7 linked regions of the Macaca fascicularis genome follow. The protein of the gene in region 3 binds, or shares a complex with, the protein of the main gene of each other region. Links are inferred from orthologs where the notes say so. Each region holds a gene or a part of one and is shown on either strand. Other genes may lie near its edges.

The links.
Region 1: DDX39B (region 3) and THOC7 share a complex: the UniProt entries of both Homo sapiens proteins name them as parts of the transcription/export (TREX) complex. The link is inferred for Macaca fascicularis from reciprocal best matches to the Homo sapiens genes DDX39B and THOC7.
Region 2: DDX39B (region 3) and THOC6 share a complex: the UniProt entries of both Homo sapiens proteins name them as parts of the transcription/export (TREX) complex. The link is inferred for Macaca fascicularis from reciprocal best matches to the Homo sapiens genes DDX39B and THOC6.
Region 4: DDX39B (region 3) and CHTOP share a complex: the UniProt entries of both Homo sapiens proteins name them as parts of the transcription/export (TREX) complex. The link is inferred for Macaca fascicularis from reciprocal best matches to the Homo sapiens genes DDX39B and CHTOP.
Region 5: DDX39B (region 3) and SARNP share a complex: the UniProt entries of both Homo sapiens proteins name them as parts of the transcription/export (TREX) complex. The link is inferred for Macaca fascicularis from reciprocal best matches to the Homo sapiens genes DDX39B and SARNP.
Region 6: DDX39B (region 3) and THOC1 share a complex: the UniProt entries of both Homo sapiens proteins name them as parts of the transcription/export (TREX) complex. The link is inferred for Macaca fascicularis from reciprocal best matches to the Homo sapiens genes DDX39B and THOC1.
Region 7: DDX39B (region 3) and TTF2 share a complex: the UniProt entries of both Homo sapiens proteins name them as parts of the spliceosome. The link is inferred for Macaca fascicularis from reciprocal best matches to the Homo sapiens genes DDX39B and TTF2.

What each region holds. Positions count from the first base shown.
Region 1 is NC_088376.1:126,941,322-126,945,495, reverse strand, and holds the start of THOC7 (THO complex subunit 7), read left to right. Parts: upstream 1-1,322; 5' UTR 1,323-1,504; coding exon 1,505-1,547; intron 1,548-4,174. UniProt on the Homo sapiens protein: Component of the THO subcomplex of the TREX complex which is thought to couple mRNA transcription, processing and nuclear export, and which specifically associates with spliced mRNA and not with unspliced pre-mRNA.
Region 2 is NC_088394.1:3,820,433-3,824,674, reverse strand, and holds the start of THOC6 (THO complex subunit 6), read right to left. Parts: upstream 2,845-4,242; 5' UTR 2,561-2,844; coding exon 2,522-2,560; intron 957-2,521; exon of another isoform or gene 687-956; intron 539-686; coding exon 423-538; intron 322-422; coding exon 257-321; intron 183-256; coding exon 79-182; intron 1-78. Other genes in the region: HCFC1R1 (host cell factor C1 regulator 1), read left to right, coding at 2,946-3,040, 3,357-3,413, 3,526-3,654, 3,889-4,024. UniProt on the Homo sapiens protein: Component of the THO subcomplex of the TREX complex which is thought to couple mRNA transcription, processing and nuclear export, and which specifically associates with spliced mRNA and not with unspliced pre-mRNA.
Region 3 is NC_088378.1:140,193,163-140,196,732, reverse strand, and holds part of DDX39B (spliceosome RNA helicase DDX39B), read right to left. Parts: intron 3,417-3,570; coding exon 3,324-3,416; intron 1,286-3,323; coding exon 1,102-1,285; intron 1,052-1,101; exon of another isoform or gene 976-1,051; intron 92-975; coding exon 1-91. UniProt on the Homo sapiens protein: Involved in nuclear export of spliced and unspliced mRNA. Component of the TREX complex which is thought to couple mRNA transcription, processing and nuclear export, and specifically associates with spliced mRNA and not with unspliced pre-mRNA.
Region 4 is NC_088375.1:107,531,531-107,535,776, forward strand, and holds the start of CHTOP (chromatin target of PRMT1 protein), read right to left. Parts: upstream 2,853-4,246; 5' UTR 2,589-2,852; intron 366-2,588; 5' UTR 349-365; coding exon 284-348; intron 1-283. UniProt on the Homo sapiens protein: Plays an important role in the ligand-dependent activation of estrogen receptor target genes. May play a role in the silencing of fetal globin genes.
Region 5 is NC_088385.1:62,604,794-62,609,155, forward strand, and holds the start of SARNP (SAP domain-containing ribonucleoprotein), read right to left. Parts: upstream 2,857-4,362; 5' UTR 2,836-2,856; coding exon 2,800-2,835; intron 1,068-2,799; exon of another isoform or gene 1,015-1,067; intron 1-1,014. Other genes in the region: ORMDL2 (ORM1-like protein 2), read left to right, coding at 4,133-4,306. UniProt on the Homo sapiens protein: Binds both single-stranded and double-stranded DNA with higher affinity for the single-stranded form. Specifically binds to scaffold/matrix attachment region DNA. Also binds single-stranded RNA. Enhances RNA unwinding activity of DDX39A.
Region 6 is NC_088392.1:68,899,254-68,902,823, forward strand, and holds part of THOC1 (THO complex subunit 1), read right to left. Parts: intron 1,644-3,570; coding exon 1,496-1,643; intron 516-1,495; coding exon 440-515; intron 1-439. UniProt on the Homo sapiens protein: Component of the THO subcomplex of the TREX complex which is thought to couple mRNA transcription, processing and nuclear export, and which specifically associates with spliced mRNA and not with unspliced pre-mRNA.
Region 7 is NC_088375.1:117,327,068-117,330,637, reverse strand, and holds part of TTF2 (transcription termination factor 2), read left to right. Parts: intron 1-29; coding exon 30-96; intron 97-1,544; coding exon 1,545-2,537; intron 2,538-2,858; coding exon 2,859-2,973; intron 2,974-3,320; coding exon 3,321-3,503; intron 3,504-3,570. UniProt on the Homo sapiens protein: DsDNA-dependent ATPase which acts as a transcription termination factor by coupling ATP hydrolysis with removal of RNA polymerase II from the DNA template. May contribute to mitotic transcription repression. May also be involved in pre-mRNA splicing.

The sequences.
Region 1 (4,174 bases), on a different chromosome or scaffold from region 3:
CGGAGCAGGCGGCCGCGGGCGCCGCCGCCTCCTCCTCCATGGCTGTTTACCCGGCTGCATTGTGGGAGTTTGACCTCCGCCGCCGCCAACCGCCGCCTCAGCTTGCGCCGCCGCCGCCGCCGCGCACGCCATGGGAGCCGTGACTGACGGTGAGGCCCCGCTCACCGCCACCCGCGCCGGCTGCACAGCCTGTTCGGCCTCCCCGGAGACCCCTGGCCTCCCAGCCCGCTTCCGGGAACCCCTCGGCCTGCCCCGGCCGCTTCGCCCGAGCGCTTCGGCCTTCCAGACCCCTCCCCGAAGCCCCGGGCCTCCCCGGCTGCTTCCCTGAGTCCTTCCTCTCGCCAGAGGCCGAGCGCCCCTCGGAGCCCCTCGGCCTCCCCCGCCCGCTCTCCCGAAGGCAGCGCGGGGCTGTAGGGTGTGCCGGGAGCGTGGTCGGTGGGCTGGGAACACACGTGGGTGGCCGAGACGGCTAGAAGCGGTGCAAGGGCGGGTGGGACCGGAGGGAGTCCGGGTTTGTCTAGGGGCGCGGTGAGGGCCCAGGAGCCGCGAATGGTGGGCGGTGGTGCCGGGCTTGGGGCTGGGGGCCTGGAAGGTTTCTGGAGGACTAGGAGGGAGTGGGAGCTCCAGGGATGGAACGGGAGTTTCGGGACTCGTCTACAAGGGATGTCAGAATACGGAGCGTGACACCTGGAGGGGTCCTGGGGCATATTGGGAAGGACTCACAGACAATGGAGTCGATGGCAATGAGGCCTTGAACTGCGAGTGGATTGTGGGTGAGGAGAGGGAGCAGGGAATTATTTATAAAAGGAATACAGAGGGATGAGGTATCCGGAGGGTAATGAGGAAGTGTACCTGGGAGATTTACGGGGGGTAAGGAGGAGCCAGTATAGTGATGAGAAACCATCTAGGGTAGGTCAGGAGGATAGAAGATGTATATGTGTTTGTTGGGGAGGGTGATTTGTCAGCTGGAATGGATTTAGAGGGGCAAAGACTGGGTTTGTGGACTGTCTAAGGGAGATGGTCTATGGAGTGAGAGCAGAAATAAGGTGACACTTTGGGGAAAGGGGAAGGGGCATGATCGGCAACTGGAGGGAGAACCTACAAGTTATCTGATTAGGGAGGAAGAAGGTCCTTTGATATCTGGGAAGGGGAGATCTAGGGCTTTTGGGTGTTTTTCAGGAGAGGGTGACCAGTAACTAAATGCCTGTGGAGAGGCCACTTCTGAAGAGTTGAAGACCACCAGGGTCTCCACATTAAAGGGCCTGGCCATGGGAAGAACAGTGATAGGCCCAAATTTGCAGACTGGTAAAGAGTAGTGGAGGTGGAAGACTACTAAAGACCCAGGAACTTCATGTAGAATTTCAGCTTTGCTTCATTCCAGTTTCATTTATTTAGTGGACATTTATCCTTCCTGGACTAGGCTTTGGGATTACAACCCAGAACCAACAAGCAAGAACTTTTCCCTCTCCAAAATTTCGGTCGGAAGGGAAAGAAACATTGACTAATGAGTTTTAAGAGTGACAAATATTACCACAAGGAAGTACAAGGTTGGTAACTGTAGGAACATGTAACAAAGATTATCCAATCAATGGAAATGAGAAAGCTTCCCCAAAAAAGATAATCCCATTTTTGAAGAATAAATAGATGTTGGACTGGTGTTCTGGGTTGGTAGCCACTTGTACAAAGGCCCCAAGATGTTGGAAGAACTCAAAGTTGACAGTTATTGCTAGAATTTAGAAAGTTATGAGCCAGAGAGTTCTAAGGGCAATGGGAAGCCATTAAAAGTTTTAACATTGGTGTTGTGCTAATCAGATTGGCATTAACACACACACATGGCCGGGCACAGTGGCTCACGCCTGTAATCCCAGCGCTTTGGGAGGCCAAGGCAGGTGGACCTCTTGAGCTCAGAAGTTCAAGACCAGCCTGGGCAACATAATGAGACCCCATGTCTACAAATACAAAAAAATTGGTCTGGCACAGTGGCACACACCTGTGGTCCCAGAACTTGGGAGGCTGACAAGAGAGAATCACTTGAGCCTGGGAGGTCGAGGCTGAAGTGAACCACGATCGCATCAGTGCACTCCAGTCTGGGTGACAGAGTGAGACCCTGTCTCAAAAAAAAAAAAAAACAAAACCGCATACACACTGTCTCTGTTATGTGCAGAATGATTAGAGGAAGAGAAAGTGAGGAGCTAAGTTTCCTTACCACTTACTAACGTTTACATGGTGCTGTCAGGTAATATTCTAATTGTTGTCCCCATTTTACAGATGAAACAGACACAGGTTAGCTTGCCCAAGGTTGCACAGATAGTAAGTCATAGAGGGTCAAAGGCAGGGAGACCACCTGCGGAGTTCCCGCTCTTCACTATTATGCCTCCTGTGTCTCCTATTTCTGCAGTGGCCCTGGTGAGAGACAATGAGGACTGTGACCAAGAGGGAATGCAGAGAAGAGGACAGGTGGGAGGGAAATTTGTGAGGCAGAATGTCAGAACTTCGGGTATTGAATGAATGCGGGGAGAAGGGGTTTAGGATGATCCCAGGTTTTTGACTTCACTGTGTGCCTGTTAGCACTACTTTTCTATTTATTGAGATAGAGATGTCCAAAGGAGCGATAGGCTTTGTCAGATGGGAGATAGGGACAGAAGATGAGTTCTGAAGTACTGACTGCAGTAGAGTGCCCCACCACATCCTTAGAGTCCACAGGAATCTCTACCCTGCCACTTACAGACTGTCTCAGCTTCGGTCTCTGAATGGAGATAATAATAAAATCTGTGTCAGCGGATTGTTTTGAGGATTAAACACAAAAAGTTGTAAAGGGCTTTGCATTGAGTCCAACACATAATAATTAATGTTCAGTAAATATTATTAAATGTCAGAGTAGTTTTACTAATCTGTCTTCCACTTTCCTTTGATGTGGACTGTGCCTTCTCTCTTAATCTGCACAGGTTGCCTTTTCCTGCCTTTTCTATCAGGTGACACTCCACTTTTTCCTCAAGACCCAACTCAAAAATCCCCTCTTTCCTGGAAGTAGTTGACCCTCTGCCTATTAGCCATGTTATTTTATGCATATTGCTGCTGTCACCCTTAATACTTTATTTATATGCCTTATGCTAGAAAAGATTTAAGGCAGTTCACCGTAATGAGAAAATGTACAAATTAAATGGATTAGAAAACAAGACAAAAAGAACACTGAAATTAGGAAAAATAAAGGGAAGTCAGAAGTGGGGTGATCCTCAAAATGCAGAAGGATAAAGTCTAGTACATTAATTAACCAAGCTGTAAGTGACCTGTTTCTCTAATAGGCCATGCCGAGAGGCAGTACTTCATCTACTCTGTGGTCTAGTGTTCATGAAAGAAGGCAATCTTAGATGCCCAGGAAAAGCACTTTTTTTTTTCTGATTTGAACTAGAGGAAAAGTTTGTCATTGAGGTCCTTATAAATGAAAGCCAGTGTCATATCCTTAACCTCTTTTCAGCACTGAAGATCACAGAGCTGTTTTGTAGCACATCCCTTGCTAGGTAAAAGAAGGTTAAATCACAATTAGAAAGATTCTAAAGCCAATAGAGGCTGGGTGTGGTAGCTCACACCTGTAATCAATCTTAGCACTTTGGGAGGCTAAGGCAGGAGGATCACTTGAGCCCAGGAGTTTGCAACCAGCCTAAGCAACACAGCGAGACCTCATCTCTACTACAAAATTTTTCAAATTAGCCAGGCGTGTGTGGTGGTGTGCACCTGTGTCTCAGCTACTCGTCTCTACTAAAAATTTTTAAAAATTATCCAGGTGGAGTGGCACACACCTGTAGGTAGTCTCAGCTACTCAGGAGGCTGAGGCGGGAGGGTCACTTGAGCCCAGGAGTTTGAGATTGCAACCAGCCGTGATTGCACCACTGCACTCCAGCCTGTCAACAGCACTAAACCCTGTCTAAATAAAACCAATGGACAATTTGGTTTAGGTGGGTAGTGGGTAGCTCTGCTAATCTGGCTTGATTCAAAGCAAGGTTTTTTGATTGAATATCTAGACCATAAGGGAAAGACAAACTACAACTTCTTCAGACAATCCTCTATAAACATGGTTTTTATCAGCTCAGCTTTTGAAAAAATCAAGCTGAAATGAGTGGTATGTGTGATCAGTCAGCAAGTATTTATTGCATACCTTGTAGGCACAATGCAAAGT
Region 2 (4,242 bases), on a different chromosome or scaffold from region 3:
AAGGGAAAATACCAGTTGACCTCAAAGGCTCTCTCTGGGTCCCGGCACCCCAGCCCTTTCCCGAGCTCAACTCCTTACCTTCTTGAGCATCTCCGCCCAAAGCCAGGCCTTCACCTCCCCATCCCCAGCACTAAGCAGATGTCGATCGGTGGAGACCATGCTATAGACAGGCCCATCATGGGCTAAAGAGAAATGCAGAACTGAGTTGACCAATTCCACCCAAAGTCCCGAAGCCAGACTCCACAGCTATACCCACCTTGGAAAGTCACCACCGGCTTCTTACTTTCCTCTTTGGCTTCGGAGCTCAAAGCAGCGGACAAGCTGCAGGGGACAGCGGAGGGGACCCAGGAGTCAGAAACAGGGACATCCGTCCCATGAGGGCCAAGTGCCAGGGCTAATGGGTGGACAGCGGCAGAGGGTACCTGAAGATGGCAATCTGCCCATAATTGTTGCCAGCCGCCAGAAACTTCCCACACGGTGAGACACTCTGGGAGAAGATGGTCATATGGAGCCGCTGCAAGGCCTGGAACACCTCTGTCTGCAGGGAAGAACTGGATGAGGCCTGCCTGGGATGTATGAAACCTCCCAGCCACAGACTCCTTCCTGCTTCCCCCAACACCTGCCAGGCTTCCCACTGTCCTGACTTCTCAGCCCTCTTTTGAGGCGGCCCGGCCCCAAGCCAGCACTTGCCCATGCAGTCCCATGGGCGGCTCCAAGAAGACACTGAAGAAGGGGCGAGTCGAGGTGATGCCTCAGGGACCTCTGAGCAAGCACCCAGCACTCTCCTACCAGCTTCCTCAACTGTCAAGTGGAGCTCACAGAAGATTCCATCACCATTAGATGAGCTAGTGTATAGACAAGAGCTTTCCATGGGGCTGTCACTCAGTGCTGAAGCCGGGTGTGGTGGCTCATGCCTGTCATCCACTGCTTGGGGAGGCCAGGAGTTCGAGAGCAGCCTGGTCAAAATAGTGAGACTCCGTCTCAACAAAAAATTTAAAAATGTGGGGCCGGGCGCAGTGGCTCACGCCTGTAATCCCAGCACTTTGGGAGGCCGAGGTGGGCGGATCACCTGAGGTCTGGAGTTCCAGACCAGCCTGACCAACATGGAGAAACCCATCTCTACTAAAAATACAAAATGAGGCCGGGCGCGGTGGCTCAAGCCTGTAATCCCAGCACTTTGGGAGGCCGAGGCGGGTGGATCACGAGGTCAGGAGATCGAGACTATCCTGGCTAACATGGTGAAACCCCGTCTCTACTAAAAATACAAAAAACTAGCCGGGCGTGGTGGCGGGCGCCTGTAGTCTCAGCTACTTGGGAGGCTGAGGCGGGAGAATGGCGTGAACCCGGGAGGCGGAGCTTGCAGTGAGCCGAGATCACGCCACTGCACTCCAGCCTGGGAGACACAGCGAGACTCCGTCTCAAAAAAAAAAAAAAATAAATAAAAAATAAAAAAAATAAAAAAAATAAAAAAAAATAAAAATACAAAATGAGCTGGGAGTGGTGGCGCATGCCTGTAATCTCAGCTACTTGGGAGACTGAGGCAGGAGAACTGCTTGAATCTGGGAGGCGGAGGCTGTGGTGAACCAAGATGGAGCCATTGCACTCCAGCCTGGGCAACAAGAGTGAAACTTCATCTCAAAAAAAAAAATGGCCGGGCGCGGTGGCTCAAGCCTGTAATCCCAGCACTTTGGGAGGCCGAGACGGGCGGATCACGAGGTCAGGAGATCGAGACCATCCTGGCTAACACGGTGAAACCCCGTCTCTACTAAAAATACAAGAAAATTAGCCGGGCGAGGTGGTGGGCGCCTGTAGTCCCAGCTACTCGGGAGGCTGAGGCAGGAGAATGGCGTGAACCCGGGGGAGTGGAGCTTGCAGTGAGCCGAGATCGCGCCACTGCACTCCAGCCTGGGGCACAGAGCAAGACTCTGTCTCAAAAAAAAAAAAAAAAAATGTGGCCAGGCATGGTGACTCACACCTGTAATCCCAGCACTTTGGGAGGCTGAGGCGGGAGGATCACCTGAGGTCAGGAGTTCGAGACCAGCCTGGTCAACACGGTGAAACCCTGTATCTACTAAAAACACAAAATTAGCTGGGCATGGTGGCACACGCCTGTAGTCCCAGCTACTCAGGAAACTGAGGCAGGAGAATCGCTTGAACCCAGGAGGCGGAAGTTGCAGTGAGCTGAGATCGTGCCACTACACTCTAGCCTAGTTGACAGAGTGAGACTCCGTCTCAAAAAAAAAAAAAGTGCTTTGCAGGAACTAGAAAATTAAAAAAAAAAATAGGGGTGGCTCTACTACCCCAACATAGAAAAACGTACTGATTTATAATCCCTACTCTCTGACTTGCGTTAAGCCCCTGAGGCACTTCTGGGTTACTCTCCCGCCCCCCGGTCAGCGTCTGAGTTCCACAAATAGCCCAGGCAAAATAGGACTCAAAGGGCACAATTCCCTGCCCGCCCCGTCCCAGCCATGAATGGACTACAAATCCCAGAAGGCAACGCGCCCCACGTCCGTCTCACCTGACCCAGCGGTACCGCGAGCGGCACAGCTCGCTCCATCTCCAGAACTACAAGTCCCAGAGTGCTTCGCGTGCGACGCAACTTCACGAGGCCTTACGTGCCTACAGCGGTTCCTCTCCGTGGCGCCCTACTGCCTTCGGCGCGAAGGGGGCTGCTGCGTACCGTCCTGAACCCCAGGAGCCGAGGTGAGCGCCGCGAAGACCCCCGACATTAAGAAGTGGTGTCCACCGCAGCCCCGCTAAGCCGGATACCCTCCCCCACCCCGAGGAGCAAGCCTGCCTTCCGCCACGCGCCGCCCTTCTTCGGCGCCCGCGCAGAACCTCGCCGCTGTGCCCGCCTAAAGCCACGCCCATCCTCGCTGGGCCACGCCCTCAGAGACTCCTCCCCTGTCGCCCAGATCCCACCCGCAGGACCCCAAAACCCAATGATCCTTCAGCAGCCCTTGGAGCGAGGCCCCCAGGGTGGGGCCCAGCGCCTCCCGCGGGCCGCCTTGGGGGTGACTCGGGGCCTGGACGCCAGGTGCGTGTGGGGGACCAGGGTGGGCCTGACCAAGGGCCGCAGGAGCTTTGGCTGGGTGCTCAGGGCTGGTCTGCAGGATGAACACGGGGTGGGGCGAATCGGTGGGGCTTAGGCGTGAGCTGAGATGGTATTGGGGCTGCAGTTCAGGGTCCAGACTTCCGAAGTACGCTGCTGGATGGCCCAGGAGAGGGGGGACCAGCACCAGCTGAGACAGTAATGGGCTTGGGGCTCCTGGCTGATGCTGCAGGCTCAGGCAGGCATATCCTTGGGAAGGGGCCAAGAGGGTGGGGTGCACCAGGCTCTCTTTTTTCCCCAGCTCCCCTCTCCGAGGAGCTGTGCCCATGAGCACCAAGCGGCGCCTGGAGGAGGAGCAGTGAGTTTGGGGGCAGGGAGGGACTCCCAACGAGAGCTCTGTCACCTCTGGTCCCCAACAGGCTGCCTCCTGTCTCAATATCCCAGCCTGCCTCTCTCCCATCTCTCCCCAGGGAGCCTCTGCGCAAGCATTTTCTGTCTGAGGAGAACATGGCCACCCACTTCTCTCAACTCAGCCTGCACAATGACCACCCCTACTGCAGCCCCCCCATGGCCTTCCCCCAAGCCCTGCCCCCACTCAGGTAGGCTCCTCCACTGGCCAGGCCTTCTGCAGAATCACAGGCGGTCCTCGCAGCTGACCTCAGGCCCTGCCTCATCGTGCCATTTTTAGCTCTAGCTGACCTCTGGGTTGTTTCTCATCTTCGCTCTTCGGAAAGTGCTGGGAACCCAGGAGTCCCTGGGGACCTGGACCTGGTGGGAGGTGCTCAGCTAGGCCAGCCTTAGCCCCATGCCCTGACAGTCATTTCTTCTTCTAGAAGCCCTTGCTCTGAGCTGCTTCTCTGGCGCTACCCTGGCAGCCTCATCCCCGAGGCCCTCCGTCTGCTGAGGCTGGGGGACACCCCCAGTCCCCCCTACCCTGCAACCCCAGCTGGAGACATAACGGAGCTCTGAGTGCTGGTGGACTGCCCCTCCCACCTTCCTTCTTCCCCACAACAGAAGAGACCAGCGACTCCTGCAAAGGGACAAGGTTCCTCCCTCTCCTGCAGACCAGGCATCTGGGCACCAAGACCTTCCCTCAACAGAGGACACTGAGCCCAACGGAGCTCTGGGATGGGAGGGGTGGGAGCATGGGAAGGGAGGCATCCCACCCCCAAGAAGAACTGAATAAA
Region 3 (3,570 bases):
CGGATCTCTTTGCTCAAGGTAGCACTGAACATCATGACCTGCTTCTCGTGGGGGGTCATGCGAAAAATTTCCTGGACATCCCGACGCATGTCTACAAGAACAAGGAAAAAAATTGTAGGAGAAAATAAGCAAGTATGATAAACAAAGATTAGAGGTAGACTTTCCAGTGAGGTGAAGATTGCTGGAAATAGTAATAACACAACGGAAAAAGCAATGGACTTGGAATCAAGAATTGGGATCAGATTCCAGCTGTTCGTTTTAACCAAGCAAGAAATAAGATAAAACCCCAAAGTTCCCAACTATAAAACGGGGACAAAGCCCAGTGCAGACGCTCTCAAGGCCTTCGAAACATGCTTTACAGGCCCTTCTCCCAATCCTTTCCTGTCCAAGCCCCAGCCAGCCCTCAGGAGACTACAAGTATCAACCATATATTACATTCCAGGTAGCAGAGTCCATCTATGACTCTCTGGATCACTTTTCTATCAACTCAGGCAAATATGACATTGCTACCTGGAGCCCACCTTTATAACTCACCACACTGAATTGCCGAAGACCATTTGTAATGACTTATGGGGCCTATGTCCAACCCCACACTCATTCACCAAGATTCAAATCTTACAGAAAAAACTTCCATTAACCCCACTTGGCACACTAGAATACCACACCACACGAACTGCTACCCTCTCTACATTAATCCCAGACCTGAGTCTAGAAACTTATTCAGCTATAAATTCTGACTGTAAATGCTGTGCTGGAGATGCCAGAAGGGTACTGTCTTCTCTTTCAGTTTAGAATCTCCCCTATGACTTCCAGTATAGGAATCTATAATGAAAACGGTGGTGGTGGTGATAACTTAGGCCTGAAATTACCGAAGTCCCCTATTCTCAAAGATTAAAAACAAAAATCATAGAAAGATGATAGATGACATCCTTTACTGTGCTTAAAAGCATAATAAAGCCCAACCAGGGAACCCAGAGCCATCAGTCATGGGTGATAGATAAGAGTCGTCCTTGCACTGAGGCGCTCCTGTTTCAAATAAACATCATTTGGCTCCAAAGAACAACTCCCCAGCATTAGCCAAGTCCCAGCACTGCCACTCACCGAGCTGTTCAAGCATCTTATCACATTCATCCAAAATAAAGTGTTTAATGTGTTTGAGGTTGAGGCTCTTATTTCGAGCCAGGGCTAGGATACGGCCTGGAGTCCCCACGACGATATGCGGGCAGTTCTTCTTCAGCACCTCTTCATCCTTCTTGATAGACAGACCACCAAAAAAAACAGCAACCTGCCGAGAGCCAGGAGCAAAGAGTCTCAAAAAAGAGGAAGGAAAGAGTCCAATCCCCCCAGAGTTCCCACTGTTTGAGCTAAACCAATTTTTAGCATGTTTCAAAACTAAAACTAACTCTAGAGGTCACCTAATTTAGAAATGTTATGTCCCCCCACCAAACACTGAGGGTGACTGCCTAAAGTTACATAGCTAGTCGGAGCAGTCAGGACAATAATTCAGTTCTTCTGACTTAATCTAACCATCTTCCTTCATTTATGAGGCCAAGCCTCATTTTAAAAATAAAGGAGTCAGGTGTGGTGGCGCACGCCTATAACTCCAGCTACTCGGGAGGCAGAGGTTGCGGTGAACCAAGATCTCACCATTGTACTCCAGCCTGGGCAACAAGAGTGATATTCCGTCTCTAAATAAATAAATAAATAAATAAAATAAAGCCAGGCCCGGTGGTTCACGCCTGTAATCCCAGCAGTTTGGGAAGTCGAGGCAGGTGGATCACTTGAAGCCAGGCGTTCAAGACCAGCCTGGCCAACATGGTGAAACCCCATCTCTTCTAAAATACAATATTTACAAATTTACTACTAAAATACAAAAACTACAAAACTTAGCCAGGAGGCTGAGGAAGGAGAATCGCTTGAATGCAGGAAGTGGAGATTGCAGTGAGGCGAGATTGAGCCATTGTACTCCAGGCTAGATGACAGAGCGAGACTCCATCTCAAAAAATAAAAAATAAATAAATAAAGGACGGCAAGAAATTACCAGGATTAGTATAAAGTACCACAAAAAAACACATGGAACATTAAGTTTTCCTAAATAAACCCAGAATCTCAAACTCCTTCATACAAACCCCATGAAATTACTGCTTTGGGTGAAATATTATCACTTCATGTTAAAACCATTAGGTGAATAGTTGGTTAGGGATCTGGGCCTTGGTACAGTGTCAAATAACACCAGAAACTCTAGTTTTAAGGGGGAAAAGAATGACCATGGAATCAGACTGTCACGATGCTAATCCTATGGTAAACCTAAAATCACTAATGAGGCCAGGCACAGTGGCTCACACCTGTAATCCCAGCACTTTGGGAGGCCGAGGTGGGTGGATCACTTGAGGTCAGGAGTTCGAGACCAGCCTGGCCAACATGGCGAAACCCTGTCACTACCAAAAAAAAAAAAAAAAAATTAGCCGGGTATGATGGCACACTGTAGTCCCAGCCACTCAGCAGGTTGAAGCAGGAGAATCGCTTGAACCTGGGAGGTGCAGGCTGCAGTGAGCTGAGATCGCACCACTACACTCACAGCCCAGGGGACGCAGCAAGACTCCATCTCAAAACAAATAAATAAAAATAAAAATAACTAACATAAGTCAACCCGATTTCTGGCACAACAGGAGATACAGCATCACCTATGAAGGATAATTGCCAAAAATGCTTAACTTCAATCAGATTTTTTTTTTTGAGATGGGAGTCTCACTCTGTCACCCAGGCTGGAGTGTAGTGGCACAATCTCAGCTCACTATAACCTCTGCTTCCTGGGTTCAAGCGATTCTCCTGCCTCAGCCTCCCAAGTAGGTAGGACTACAGGTGTGTGCCACCACGCCCGGCTAATTTTTGCATTTTTAGTAGAGACAGGGTTTCATCGCATTGGCCACACTGGTCTCGAACTCCTGACCTCAAATGATCCACATGCCTTGGCCTCCCAAAGTGCTGAGATTACAGGTGTAAGCCGCTGCGCACTTGGCCAGAATCCTCAATATTCACACACCCCTGAAGCTGTTTTAAAGTTTCTGGCTTTCTCTGCCACACACCCCAAAATTACCAAACTGATAGGATTCAAAGTCAGTATAAAGTAGTAAAAAAAGGGTGGTCTCGGTTAAGCATCATCCATAGCCCAATTACGAATCCTCCCGTTACATAGGATCTTAACACTGTTAAACCATGGCAAACTAAAACTTCTCCAAAATTAAAGAGACTACTGGCCTACAAGTTTCTTATCCCTCCAACTTGCCACACCCTCACTCTGAGGTCTCTTTACCTCGGCTTACCTTGACATTGGGCATGTATTTAGAGAAGCGCTCATATTCCTTGCTGATCTGAAAAGCCAACTCCCGAGTGTGACACATCACCAGCACAGACACCTTAGGCAGGAAGTAGACCGAGACATACCATGAGTGTAGCCCTTCATCGTTCCCTCTAGGGAAGTGACTGACAAAAACACACCTGGGCCGATAATAAATGACTTCAATTCTGTGATCTAAATCACGAACCCCATGCTTGGATAGAACATTCCCC
Region 4 (4,246 bases), on a different chromosome or scaffold from region 3:
GTATCAATGTAAAAAAATGTGAAAAGGGAGGGTGTTAGGAGTCTTTTAAAATACATCCCACCAAATAAATATTTCAGACAGCTTAACATAAAAGTCTACTGATAAGGGGTTTTGAAACAACCGCCCAATTTGTTTTGTGTACCACATGAGATGCAACTAAGAACAGAGGTCTGTAGCCTTCTGTTGGTATTTAGCTTAAAACTGGCTTTGTGCACTGGACCCCAGGGCCAAGTTAAGTAATGTTTTCTTAGGAAGGAGCTGAAGTTGCTGTTGGCTGCCTCACCGCTCATTTAGAGACATCTTGGTGGTGCTTTTTAGCACAACTTTCGGCGCTGACTGTGCAGCCATCTTCAAATCCCGAGAATCTACAAAGGACAATACGTAAAATGAGCAAATCACAATAGTGACCACATCATTTCTATAAGTGGCAAGGCCCAAGTCAACAATAAATAAAAAGGCCTTATCACTGATGACTTAAGAGCACATGAGGGCACATTTCAAGTGCTTAAATTTCTTTTTCTTTTTTTTTTTTTTTTGAGAGAGGGTCTTACTCTGTCACTCAGGCTGGAATGCAGTGGCATGATCTTGGCTGCAGTGGCTCACGGCAGCTGTAATCTCCTGGCCTCAAAGGATGTTCCCACCTTGGCCTCCCAGTGCTGGGATCACAGACATGAGGTGTCATGCCCAGCAAAAGTGCAAAAGTGCTTAAATTTCTATGGCAGTTACCTCACATTACTGTAACTTCAAGGTGGCTGGGCGTGGTGGTTCACCACCTGTAATCCTAACACTTTGGGAGGGTGAGGGCACAGGATGGTTTGAAGCCAGGAGTTAGAGATCAGCTTGGGTAACAAAGTGAGACCGAGTCTCTACTAAGAAAATAAATAAATAAATAGTGCATGGTGGCCAGCACCTGTGGTCCTAGCTACTCAGGGGGAGCTGATGTGGGAGAAGTGCTACAGCCCAGGGGTTGGAGGCTGCAAAGAGCTGTGATGACGCCACTGCACTCCAGCCTGAGAGAGACCCCAACTCTTTAAAACAACCAACCAACCCCAAACAAACTCCAAGGCCCAGAAAATACCCAGGAAATTCTCAAAAACGGCAGAACCCAATTTAGCAATCAAAGTATGGAGTCTGGCCTTTTTTTTTTTTTTTTTTTGAGACGGAATCTCACTCTCTCGCCCAAGCTGGAGTGCAGTGGTGCGATCTCGGTTCACTGCAACCTCTGCCTCCTGGTGCAACCGATTCTCCTGCTTCAGCCTCCTGAGTAGCTGGGACTACAGGCATGTGCCACCACGCCCGGCGAATTGTTTTTGTATTTTTAGTAGAGACGGGGTTTCTCCACGTAGGCTAGGGTGGTCTTGAGCTCCTGACCTCACCCGATCCACCCACCTGGGCCTCCCAAAGTGCTGGGATTACAGGCGTGAGCCACCGCGCCCGGTCGAGTTTGGCTTTTTCTCTAGAGCAGTCATTTTCAATCTTGACTACATATGACTTATCCAAGGAGCTTTCAAAGGGCGCGGTGGCTCACGCCTGTAATCTCAGCACCTTGGGAGGCCAAGGTGGGCGGAATGCTCGAGCCCTAGAGCTCAAGACCAGCCTGGGCGACATGGCAAGACCCCGTTTCCATAAAAATATAAATTAATTAAAAAAATAAAAAATACAGATATCTGGGCCTAGATCAATTAAACCACAATCTCTAGTAACGAGGTTTGGAAATGAACAATTGTGGGGTGGAGGGAAAGCTACCTAGGTGCTTCTAGCGTGCAGTTAAAGTTGAAAACTACTGATCTAGAGTGAAAATATAGGCAGGGCCGGGCGCGGTGGCTCACGCCAGTTTTCCCAGCACTCTGGGAGGCCGAGACGGGCGGATCACCTGAGGTTGGGGGTTCGAGACCAGCCTGACCATCATGGAGAAACCCCGTCTTTACTAAATATACAAAATTAGCTGGGCGTAGTGGCGCATGGCTGTAATCCCAGCTACTCGGGAGTCTGAGGCAGGAGAATCGCTTGAACTCGGGAGGCGGAAGCTGTGGTGAGCTGAGATCGTGCCACTGCACTCCAGCCTGGGCAAAAAGAGCGACACTCCGTCTCAAAAAAAAAAAAAAAAAAAAAAAGCCTAGTTTAAAAATTGGCTTTCAACTCCAGAATCAAGTAGAGACTTTTGTAACAATAAACTAATGATCTCGGGGAGTGCGTAGGAAAGGTTTTCTAAATTCACCTGGGGAATGAGCTCGCAAAGAGCCCTCCACAAAACTTAACCCTAAAGCCGCCATTAATTTCCAACATTCCTCAAAGTCTTGTATTTCTTAATCTCCCTACCATCCTCAAAGCCCTATCAAGACTTCCACTTTTGCTCAACCCAAGTTTCCTTTTAATCCCTATCAAACCCCAACCTCCATCAGTCCCGCCACCAGGTTCCAGTTCAGCCCCTCCCCCGCCCCTTCGCAGGGGCTCCGCCTCCTCCCCCGGGCCTCCACGCTCCAACACCGTAGCTGTGTCCACATGCCACCACCCCCTTTCCGCGTCCGCCAGCCCCTTCCGCTCTCCAAGACCCCGCCACCCCGCTCCTTCTCCCTACAGAAACTCACCGAAGGAAACAGACGCCAGTGCTCCTCCCGGGGCTGCCACCACGGCTCCGGCAGGCGGGCCGGGGACCGGCCGAACCTGAGTTGACGGTGGAGGGGCTCGGGTTAGCTAGATGGGCGGTTGGTCAGATGCGTAAGCGGTAGTATGCGAGCTCAGTTCGTTGTTGCTGGTTGGCTGTCTAGCCGGCCGATCCGTCTGCTCACCCGGCCTGCCCTTTCTTGCCTTTCGTCTGCAGCGGCCGCCAGCTCCGGCTCGGTGTCCAAAACAAAATGGCCGCCACATGCAGTGCTTGTGGGACCGGCTAAAATGGCGTCTACGCCATTACGTCAGGCGTCAGATCCGCTCACGACTAGAGGGCGTGAAAGATTTGAGCTCCGCCTGCGCAGGGATCAGAGGCGGAGCCTTAGGGTGAACTTCAGCAAACTTTACCTTAGCGGTATAAGCAGTGCCCCGCCCCCTGGGGGCGTGACAATGGCCCTATCGGGGCGTGCCGGGACTTCAAGTTCCCGTAGTGGTTAAGCTGCAACCTCCTGGGTTACTAGTTAGTAATCAGGGTCTTAGAGGGGATTTGGGTTCCGAATTCCCTTGCCCCTCTGTTCCTTAGGCAAGGTACATCGTCTAAAAATCTTTACGCGGACTTGCCTCGTCTTCTTCCGGACAACTGGGCCTGGGGAATTTGCACTGGTTTTCCCCTCATGGCCAGTCGCCCAGTCTGAGAGTTGTAAAGTGCCGTAAATGCTCCCGCCAAGGCCCAGTATTGGGAGCACATTCCTCTCCCATCCTGCGCTGGCCAACACCACCGCCCGTCCATGTTTTCCTCTTCACTTCCTCCCCTTCCCAACTTGGCCTAAATACTGTTTAATCCTTCTTGCGGGGGGTGCACCTTTGCGTCCTCGATTGCGCTTCCATGTCCTCCCTCCACACCTGCCATCCGTGTTTATTTTGTGGCAGACCTACATAGGGATTTCTCTTTTCTCGCTTTTTGATTTGTTGTTGTTGTTGTTTTGAGACGGGGTCTGGCTCTGTTGTCCAAGCTGGAGTCAGTGGCGCAATCACGGATCACTGCAGCCTTGACCTCCTGGGCTCAGGTGATCCTCTCACCTCAGCCTCCCGAGTCCTAGGATTATAGGCATGAACTATGTGTCCTGCTCAATTAAGGGATTTTTCTTTCTTTCTTTCTTTCTTTTTTTTCTTTTTGCAGATGGAGTCTCGCTCTATCACCCAGGCTGGAGTGTAGTGGTACCATCTCGGCTCACTGCAACCTCCGCCTCCCAGGTTCAAGCGATTCTCCTGCTTCAGCCTCCTGAGTGGCTGGAATTACAGGCGCGTGCCACCACGCCCTGCTAATTTTTGTATTTTTAGTAGAGATGAGATTTCACCAGGCTGGTCGCTAACTCCTGACCTCGAGTGATCTGCCCACCTCTGTGTCTCAAAGTGCTGGGACTACAGTCGTGAGCCACCATGCCCGGCCTCAATAAGGGATTTTGCTTTTTTTTTTTTTTCTTTCTTTTTTTTTTTGAGACGGAGTCTCGCGCTGTCGCCCAGGCTGGAGTGCAGTGGCCGGATCTCAGCTCACTGCAAGCTCCGCCTCCCGGGTTTACGCCATTCTCCTGCCTCAGCCTCCGGAGTAGCTGGGACTACAGGCACCCACCACCTCGCC
Region 5 (4,362 bases), on a different chromosome or scaffold from region 3:
GCAAGACTCCATCTCAATTTAAAAAAAAAAAAAAAAAAAAAAATGCATTTCTACAAAATCCTCAGAAATTTGCTGTTGATATGACATTACATATCAACTCAGATACATACTATGTTTCCTTCCTGCTTCAAAGGTATTCCCTTCCCCTGAAGTTCCATACCAAAGCCCAAAATCTCTTTATGACAATGGAGATATTTTTTTCTTTTTTTTTTTTTTTTGAGACAAGGTCTCCCTTTGTCACCCAGGCTGAAGTGCAGTGGAGCAATTATCACACAGCTCACCGCAGCCTTGGCCTTCCAGGCTCAAGCAATCCTCCCACCTCAGCCTCTTGAGGAGCTGGGACTACAGGTGTGCGCCACCATGCCCAGCTAATTTTTTAATTTTTTGTAGAGACAGGGTGTCACTATGTTGCCTAAGCTGGTCTCAAACTCCTGGCCTCCGCCTCCCAAAGAGTTGGGATTAGAGGTGTGGGTCACTGGGCCCAGCCAAGATTTTTTTCAAAGGCAATAAAACCCCAAGTCAACCCAGAAGTCAGGATCATTGCATCAAGATCGCCAGTGGAACTAACTGCCCTAAAAATCAGAATCAAAGGCATGAGTTCTTTTTTTCTTTTTGAGATGGAGTCTCACTGTCTCCCAGGCTGGAGTGCAGTGCACCACCTCGGCTCAGTGCAACCTCCATCCCGGTCTCAAGCGAGTCTTGTGCCTCAGCCTCCTCAGTAGCTGGGACTATAGGCACTTGCCATCACACCTGGCTAATTTTCGCATTTTTGGTAGAGGCAGGGTTTCGCCATGTTGCCCAGGCTGGTCTCGAACTCCTGGCCTCAAGCAATCCGCCCACCTCGGCCTCCCAAAGTGCTAGGATTACAGGTGTGAGCCACCACGCCCAGCCAAAGGCATGAGTTCTTAACCAGAGGTCCATGGACTCCTCAGGGCTACAAGGTAGTTTTATGAAGCCCCTCAAACTGCATGCAAAATATGTGTACATGCCTTTTTCTGGGGAGAGGGTCCATACCTTTCATCAGAGTTTCAAAGATATCTGTGACCTCCAAAAGGTTAAGAAGTGCTCTAGAGAAAAAGCAAAGACAAGCAAATGTGATTAAAGAGCGAGTTCTTTTTAGGCTGTCAAGAGTGCCTAATGTTCTCTTAGACTGTAACACTAAAACCAGGTCAGAGGACTTTATGTAAAAGTTACTTATCCAATCAAATACAAATTTAATATAGACCTGACAAATACAGATTTGATGGAAGGAGGAACTCCATAAACCAACACAATCTATAAATGTAAGTAAGTCATCGGGCAGCTGGTGACTTACTCCAGGGATTTCAAAAATAGGACAAATAGGAAGAAAATATTAGCTCTTCTATTCACAGTTCCTTTTTATCTCATTCAAAAATTCCTTTTCTGTGTATGTTTTATAACAGTATGGAAGTATACAATTTCTATAAGTACAGTATATATACACAAAGTGGAGATGATTGCTCAATTTTTTTTTTTTTTTACTCATCACAATATCAGGAGACCACTGATATAATCTATGCATTTCGGTACCATCAAGTTAACAATAACTCCAGAATAACACAAAAATCCACTAATAGAGTTTAGAATCCAAGAGTAAGAAAACACTAGCTTTCGCAGAAAGACTAATTGGGGTCAACTAATAAGTGACTAAAGAAGGGTCCTCTCCCTACCCTTACTACCCTTAAGCTTTCTTAAACAACAACAACAAAAAACAAAACAAAACAAAACAAAAAACTCTTCAAACTTTAAAGGATCACTTTTCAGTTTCAGCTATATCAGCCTGGTTTGTCCAAAACATGTAATGAGAAAACTACTTGTGAAACCACAATCAAGATTATCTTAATTTACCCTAAAAGAAAATATTTTTTAAAGTTTTCTGCTTTTTAATATATTTTTAACGTTTTTATATATCTAGGTGTGAGAAAACTACCAAGATTCTCACAAGACAATTTAAAACAGCTTCTGTGATTCAGTGTCAGCCAATGGTAACACCAGGAGATGCAGGGCCCATCCGAGATATGAAATGGAAAAGAGATAATCTTAACCTTGGAACTGTTTTTCCCAAATATTGCAGGTATGAGTTCTCTCTGGTGGTAGGAGATGGTGCGTGAGGAAGGCCGGCGGGCCGAGAGCCGCGTGAGAGAACTCGAAAACTTTTAAATCAGAGGTGTCTGTACTTTTACTATTCTCAAGGTCTCCTCAATCCCAGGCTTCTAAGGCGAGACCGATCTTTTCTGAGAGGCCTCTCCCTGGTTTCAAAATTCGGCCTGGGGGCATAATCCCACCTAGAAAAGGGGAGTGGAAGTATTTTCTGAGTGTCTGGGACCTATTTAGAGAGAAATATAAAAAAATGCCACCATTTGCTAACAGGCGAATCTCAGCTTCGGACGACAGACTGGAAACATCATCCCAGGGAAGAAAAACGGATCCTGGGTCGGACATGGGGCAAAAAGGAGGGACGAACTGACGTAATGCAGCCCTGAAAAGCAACGAGGAGTATAACAGGTAAAAGGCACTTACACAACCCGATGGGGAAGGATGACGGACGATACAACGATGAAAGGAGCAGAAATAAATAAATATAGCAGTAAAACCGTGAGGAGAAATGGGAAATTAGGGAAGGCGTAGTGTGGAAGGGTGGCACAAAAGAGCTACAGTGGGAGCCGAAAAACGAAGTGGAAAAGGCTGCAAAGACAACACGTAGGAGAAGGCGCAAGCTACCCTGTAGAATTCAGTTCCTAGAAAAGTCCAACTCAGCCCTTCCCCGATTCACTGTACCTTCAGCTTATGGAGCTCCACCGTTTCGGTCGCCATCTTGTTACCCCTCACTCCACTAGGCCCCCACCCGCTGCCTCCGCCTCCAGGAGCTCCCGCCTTAGGCGTAGAGATGCAAGACCGACCAATCGTTGTCACTCTTGCTCCCACGCCATACCATCAACTCTTCCCATTGGTCAATAGCTGACGTCGTTCTCACTTCTCTAGGCAGCTTTCCCCACCTCTTTCAAAAGGTGGAACAGGGAAAGGGGCGGGCACTGTATCTTGCGAACGACAGAAATGGCAACCAACTGTGCATCTGCATTACAGATCACCAACCAATGGGTGGTGGCAGCGCTGATTGTGTTCCTCCAATAGGAAAGGGGCAGACGGGGAGGCGTTACTTCCTGGAGACTTCAGGTGTGGTAGCCGGCGCTGCGCCCATAGCCGGGACGGGGATCTGAGCTGGCAGGTAGGGCTGCAAAGACCGTAAGGGTTGCTGAGGAAAAATGGTGGGCGAGGAAAGGGGCGCCGAGGAAGCGGTGACCTAAATATTGAGAGGGGAGCGCTGAAGGGAGCCCTGAAAATACCGACGAACGTGAGGAGGAAGCTGGGAGGGGCATGGGGCGGGCTTAAGGAACTGGCGGTGGGGCTGGGGCGGGCAACAGCCGCTTCCTAACCAGACATCATCAGCTTAAGGGCTACCACAATTTTAAAGAACCGAGTTCAGATAATCACTGCCGCCCCTGGAGTCAGAGCCAAGGCTCCATCTCTCCAGGCGTTGAGCTCAGGTCCCTTCCGAACCCAGTCCAGAAGCCGTGGGCAAGTTGTTGTCGTGCCCCCCGCTTGAGAGAAGTAATGGGGATGCTGACTGCTTACATGCCACGGAGGTGTGAGAGAGGGTGGACAAGCCCCAGAGAACAAAGTGGGGACCAGAGTGAGCTTTACTCTGTCATCCCTTCTTAGTGGTTCTTTGATGATTCCATGACTTTCTCCTGGAATACTGGGTGTGCGTGACCTCTTTATGGTTATTAACTTCTTCAGGAAAGTCAGATACTCCTATTTCCCTCGCTCACTGAAGGGAGTGCCCCAAGTCTACGTACACCTTCATGTTACAGTTGAAGTGTAAAGATCAGAGCAAAAATGACTGTGTCTCTAAAATGTAGTGAGGACTCTTCTTGTCTTTTAAAGTTTTCCCCAAGTTTTCAGTTTTTATTTTCTGCGTGATGGGTAAGTTCTTCATTCCCAATAGAGTTCAGGGAATTGGGGCTATCTGAGAGACAACTGGGAGAAAGCTCAAAGAGGGGTTGAGAAAAAACTGAGTTGGACTCCTGCCTGATCCCCCATTATGGCTAGGATGAATGTGGGGGTGGCGCACAGCGAAGTAAACCCCAACACTCGAGTGATGAATAGCCGAGGCATCTGGCTGGCCTACATCATCTTGGTAGGACTGCTGCATGTGGTTCTACTCAGCATCCCCTTCTTCAGCATTCCTGTTGTCTGGACCCTGACCAACGTCATCCATAACCTGGTGAGCACTAAACCGCGGCCTTGTACCCACCCCAGCGTTTCCCGACCAAAAGCAAA
Region 6 (3,570 bases), on a different chromosome or scaffold from region 3:
AATGAGTTTTATTAACCACCTTTAGTAGACTTTATTTTAAAAGCAAACAATTATTTTTTATATTCTCCATAAGCTGAATACCACTCTTAATAAGCATGGTCAATAATCAAAGCTAAAGCTGTTACCTCTGTTAAAATTATGTAGGCTTTCCCTGAAATGAACTGCTCCCCTTCCAGTAACCAATAATTAACAAAGGTATGGGTCACCTTCAAATGTATTTTCCTTCCCTTTTAAAGTATCATTACTCCCCAATTTTATTGCATAAAATGTAGTATTTTTAAAGTTATTATTAAGCAATGTTTTACATTCCTCACTGTAAGTCAGAAACAGTTGAGATAAAATGGGAGAAGTTGAGAAGCCGATTAAATAATGTACCTATCAACAAAGAACCCCAATCTTCTTCAATTTTGTTAAATAACCAAGAAAATTAAATTCTTACTTTCATTTTCCTTCAGTAAAGCATCATTATCTTCCTCATCTTCATCCTCACCTGTTTTTATTTCTTCAGAAGGAGGCTAAAAATGAGAAAGAAGAATGTTTGAAAGAATGCCAGCCTCTGAAGTACGGTAACAAGTACTTTGTTTAGATAAAGATGATTGTGAGATTCCAAGTACAGGGTGCCAGAACCTCACCCCTGAGAGCGTTAGACAGTGTCAGGTAAGGATCCTAAGTGGGACTGTCTTCACATGCAGAAGGAGTGAACTTGGTAAGACCCCAGAGTTGGAAAGACTCCCCACCCCCAATCTGGGAAGCAGGAAGGCCGTGAAAAGCACAGTTCCAGGATTTGCAAATACCCAGGGTTTAGTAAAGATGGCCTCAAGGAAGCCAGTAGCAACAGTGTCCTTAAAAGTTTCTGATTCTTATCTTTTACCTTTGATAAAAGACAATATACTGCATTGGCAAACAGGAAAAAATTCCTGTCTGTGTGTATAGGTGCATAACAGTTTACCTAAAGTACCATGAATTTTATATACTTTTTTGAGATGGAGTCTTGCTCTGTCGCCAGGCTGGAGGGCAGTGGCACAATCTTGGCTCACTGCAACCTCTGCCTCCTGGGTTCAAGCAATTCCCTTGCCTCAGCCTCTTCAGCAGCTGGGACTACAGGCACCTGCCACCACGCCTGGCTAATTTTTTATATTTTAGTAGAGATGGGGTTTCACCATGTTGGCCAGGATGGTCTCAATCTCCTGACCTCATGATCTGCCTGCCTAGGCCTCCCAAAGTGCCGGGATTACAGGCGTGAGCCACCGCGCCCAGCCCTGTTGAACCTTAGTTAAATTACATGCTGTACAGAAAATTATCAGTTACTTCTTTATCAACTCATGTATTTCCTGTAAATGTATATTCCAGTGTGTTTTTCCCTCATTCTAAAACATGGGAGCTTGTGGACCACTGGTTTTTCACATGATTAAGTCAGTTTTTTGCTCACATAGTGATAGCAGTTTTAAAGATGATGTCAACTAAAGGGCATGAAAAGTTGATCTATGGTACTTACCGGTAATTCCTTGGCTAGCTTTATTACCATGTTTTCAAGATATTCTGGTAAACTTTTAAACTGCTGGTTGGTTGGCTGGAAGAAGTGAGGGCTTCTCCGTGCTAATAGTCTCAGGGCTCTCCAACCATAATTTGAATTGTTCACAGCCCTATAAAAAGAGATGTCAGGCTTGTAATTCATAGTTTTGTATTTCTGTATTCCCTTCTGCTTAGTTCTGCCACGTGCAATTCTATATTTAAGGTAAATAGCTCAAAGTACCATTCTTTTGATTGGAATCTTATTCCTCAAGAACTTTTCGGGATGTTGTCCACTGATAATAACAAATCAACAGATACACACATAACTAATAACAGGAACCAACAATGTCTGAAGAGGCAGGCTCATATGAGCAAACACGTTTTCAAAGTTCATACATTTTGTTTAATTTTAACAAGTCAACAAGTGTGTGCAGTACTGGCTAGATGCAGTATGTGTACAACAGGAATCATCCATCTGGCTATTCGGAATCCATGAACTGTTCCCTAATGAAGTATAACAATGATCAAGGTGGTATACAATCAGGTGAGAAACAGAAACTGCAGAGAAATTCTAAAGATAATGCTCCAGAAATACGCAATGCTGCAGAAGAAACCAAACCACCAATTTATTCCATTTAAGAGTTTTGGATTGGAAGTCTCTCCCTCCCCTAAGAATAGCAATTTGGTTTATTTGGTCATCTCTTATAAATGAGCGTGTGTTACCTTTAGGATGTGCAGGTACCACTGAAGACTTAACAAAAACTACCCCTAGACATTGAGGACTCTTCCCAAGTCAACACCTGCTGTGAGGCTTTGCCCGAACAGTTAAGAGCCTTCCTCTCTGACATACCTCTGTTTAAACGATTTGATTATTTTAGGCATGTTCAAAATTCACTGTCAATTATATATATCATTTTTCTTATTCTCCACAAAACCCTCTTTGGAGATAATAATTTGAACTATCACTTTAGGAATGAGTCCATCTAGTCTTACGTAACAGTGATAAATATTCTTTCAATTGACAAACACTTGAGCCAGGCACTCAGTAGCTGTGGAGAGTACCTGAGGCACAGTAATGCAGAATGTGTTGGCAGGCATCGCTAGTGATAAACACACAAGGTATAAGATAATTTCATAAGGATGAGGAAAACGAGAAATGAGAAGGTGGTGAGTGCCACCTTCTCATTTGGATAGTGGTAAGTGCCATGAAATAAAAACCACGAGAATGCAACAGAGGAGACCAGGGAGGGGAAGAGCTTCCAGGGGGACTTAAAGCCATGGGAACCTTGGGGGAAAAGTGGTTCAAGCAAGTGAGACAGTCAAGTGTGAAGGTCCTGACCGGAAAGGGAAAGACGTTTGAAGTGAAGAGCACCAGGCCTGCTGTGGTTAGAGCAGAGGGAAGGCATAGCTACACAGGACAGTATAAGCCAGACCAAGGAGGTTTTTAGACCCTGGGAGGGACTTTGGAACAGGCACTAACTGGAAGATTTTAAGCAGATCAGACTTGGACAGTTATTTTAAAGATCACTGGCTGATACATGGAGCACTGACCACTGCTAGAGAAAACAGTGAAGAGGTCACAGAGGTCACAGTAATTAACAACTCTGGGCACAGGGTCACACTAGTAACGAATATTGAGTGCTAACGACATGCCCTGTATGGTTGAAAGTGAACTGTCTTATTTAATCCTCAGAATAACCCTGTGAAATGGGTACTGTTAGTATTTAACAGATGAGGAAAGGGAGGATGGCGATTCAATTATTAAATTAGCCTTAGTCTAATAAGTAAGTGGTAGAGGGGACTGGAACCTATGCATTCTGACAAGAGGCCTCTTGCCTTTAAACCACTACTCTTCGATTCCTATTGAAAGCCATGAGACTGTGGTGTCACCCAGAAGGTTCTAGATAAAGAGGCTAAGACTGAGTCCTGATGTTACTCCAACATTTGAGTTAGGCAGAGGATGAGGAGGCTGAAATGGAATGTGAGGTGGAGTGGGCAGCGAGGGCAAAGGGCAAACAGAAGAACCATGGATTTGGATTCTCATGGACGCCAAGAGAA
Region 7 (3,570 bases), on a different chromosome or scaffold from region 3:
TTGATTATTTGTGTTTTATACTTCATTAGATTGTTCTTCCGATGCATTAGAAGTAAGGCAGAGGGGAAACGCTGGTGTGGAAGTATTCCATGGCAGGTAGGAATTATTCATCTGTTTTCAAACCTGTTGTGTTAAGACTTTTAATATGCAGCATCACCTGAAAGTACCTTGAAGTTCACATAAACGAGTTGGTCTTCATCAGACTGTCCTGAAAGATAGTTTTCTTTAAGCAAGGTAGGCCCTGTTGGGACTTTAATTCAAAGGAACATTTGGTTGTAATCAAGATTAATTATTTGCATCCTATTCACTTAGTAAATATAAATATTTACTAATACAAATATTTATTTGAGGTCTTAAATGCAGTCAGCATTCTTTTACTTAAGAAAAAAAATAGATTTCCTTGACTAACTCTTGTATCTTTTTATAGAGGAATTTCTACTTGATATTGGTATAAGCTCCTAGAATGTTCGAACTAGGAGGAGCGTCTCCTCTGAATAGGAGAAGGCCTATAGATATTCAGTACATAAGGAACTAGAACCAGGGAGATGATAAGACTTGTTTTGGCAGAGGTATGGCTTGAACTTACGATTCTATATTACCACAGTAAAATCTTCCTAAAGCCAAAATCAAAGCAAGTGTTTTAAGACAATTAGGTTTGGGGAAAAGTTCATCTTTTTTTTTTTTTTTTTTTAAATTGAGACGGAGTCTCGCTCTGTCGCCTAGGCTGGAGTGCAGTGGCGCAATCTCGGCTCACTGCAAACTCCGCCTCCCGGGTTCATGCCATTCTCCTGCCTCAGCCTCCTCAGTAGCTGGGACTACAGGCGCCCACCACCACGCCCGGCTAACTTTTTGTATTTTTAGTAGAGACGGGGTTTCACTGTGGTCTCGATCTCCTGACCTTGTGATCCGCCCGCCTCGGCCTTCCAAAGTGCTGGGATTACAGGCGTGAGCCACCACGCCCGGCCGTAGTTCATCTGAAGAGAACAGTTTTTTTCTGAAAAGTATACACTGTGGCCATTGTGATTGTAAAAGCACTTTGGTTTGTCACTACTTTTCCTTGAGGTCTGGAAAAGTGTGATCATGGACAGAGAAGGAATGAAGCATTGAAAGTACCGTGAAGAAATGAGTCTTTTGTGGGTCTGGCATGTCATCTTTTCTAGACGTGGAAATGGTATCAAGAATGTTCAGGAAATATTGGACTGCTTTTACTGTGTTTCCATTTCTTCTGCAGAATAATCCTAAGTGAATTAACGCAGGAACAGAAAACCAAATATCATATATTCTCACTTACAAACAGGAGCTAAACATTGAGCACCCATAAACATAGGAACAATAGATACTGTGAACTACTGGAGAGGGGAGGAGGGCATGGGTTAAGAAACTCTTGGGCACTATGCTCACTGCCTGAGTGCGATATACTCATATAACAAAGCTGCATGTGTGCCCCCTGTATATAAAATAAAAGATGAGATGAAAAGGAAAGGCATTCTAGATAGGACATTTGCATTAATATTTTATATGAAGATTAATTATTTTGTCTTTAGGATCCTGATTCCAAAGAACATTCTGTCCCCAATAAGTCTCAGCATGCATCTGAGACATTTCATCATTCTTCCAGCCGGCTGAGAAATCCATTCAAGGTACTTGACAAGAATCAAGAACCAGCTCTCTGGAAACAGCTCATCAAAGGTGAAGGTGAGGAAAAGATGGCTGATAAGAAGCAAAGAGAAAAGGGAGATCAGCTTTTCAATCAAAAGAAGGAACAGAAGCCTGAATCGATGGAGAAAGATCTCTCATCTGGCCTGGTACCAAAGGAAAAACAACCTGTAGTTCAAGAGAAGCAGCAAGAGGAGAGAGCAGAGATTCAGTGTGAGGCAGAGGAGACTGGAGGCACTCACAAAAGAGACTTTTCTGAAGTTAAATCTCAACAGTGCCAAGGTAATGAGCTTACAAGACCATCTGCATCTTCTCAGGAGAAATCAAGTGGTAAGAATCAAGATGTCCAAAGAGAATCAGAACCTCTGAGAGAAAAGGATACCCAGCTTTTGCCTCAAAACGTTCACAGTCACAGCTCAATAAGCAAGCCCCAGAAAGGGGGACCCCTCAACAAGGGGTACAAGAACTGGGAGGCTAAAGAAACAAAGGCAAAGGATGGCCCTAGCACACAGGCCACGCAGAAAAGCCTGCCTCGGGGGCATTTCCAAGAGCGGCCGGAGACCCACGGTGTGCCTGCTCCTGGAGGACCAGTGGCTCAGGCTGCACCAGCAGCACCAGGGCTTTCCCTGGGTGAGGGCCATGAAGCTGCCACAAGCAGTGACGATGAGGAGGAAGATGATGTTGTTTTTGTTTCCTCTAAGCCTGGGAGCCCCCTACTCTTTGACTCGACTCTGGACTTACAGACGAAGGAGAACCTCCAATTCCCTGATCGAAGTGTGCAAAGAAAAGTATCTCCGGCCTCAGGTGTTTCCAAGAAGGTGGAGCCCTCAGACCCAGCAGCCCACCGTGTCTACCTTACAACACAACTGAAACAAAAGAAGGTAACTGTTGACTCGTGTTTTGTTTTTGAGGTCAGAGCATTGCTTGCTATGGGCAGATATGAGATCTCATTGCTGCAGAAGGGTTAAATATGTTCATATTGAAGGTTTTATAGGTGTGTGTTTAGTTTCTGCCTTTTCCCCTATTTATATTTTCAAGATTGGTAAGCCAGCTGGGTTAAAATTTTAAAAAGGTTCTGGTTTTTACACACATATTTAAAAGAGCATAATTTCAGAGTTTGGGCGTTTCAGGCTATTTTAATCTGAAACTATTCATCTAACAGTGTGAAAAGAGAGATCCATTTGATGGAATCTGTTTTGCAGAGCACACTGGCATCAGTGAACATCCAGGCTCTTCCAGACAAGGGTCAGAAGTTGATCAAACAAATCCAGGAGCTGGAGGAAGCGCTCAGTGGTCTTGCCCTTTCCCCAGAGCAAGGTAAAGTGGCTTATGCCTCAGAACTCCGGGTTTGCGTGGACTTTACAAGAGACATTTGGAAGCCCTTTTAATAAAGAATGTGTTGATTCATTCACTTTTCCATTGTATTATCTGCTTCTGAGCCTTCTTTCACATTACACCTATGGTTCATAAAAAACCTTTCTCCTATTTCCTGTGGACTCTACTTTCTTCCCCCATTGTTTAAGCAACTGTTAAAATGCTACATTCTCTAGGAATCCTTCACTGGAATGGTGATGATCCCTCTCTCTTGACCTCACCTCCACACATACGATCCCTTCACTTAGTTTGCTGAACTTTATTCTGCTCTTCCCTTGTTTTCTGAGCAGGAACTAATGAGAAGAGTAACAGTCAAGCGCCACAGCAGAGTCACTTCACCGAAACTACCACTGACCCTCCCCACCTGGTGCCTCCCCAACCCCTTCCTGGTTGTGGTACCCAACCCGTGGGTTCTCTAGAACTAAAGTCTGCCTGCCAGGTGACTGCTGGAGGATCCAGTCAGTGTTATCAAGGTAAGACCCAAGGGCCTGGCCCTGCTGTGAATAGCCACCCCTGTGAGTTACGTGCCACCTGGTACAG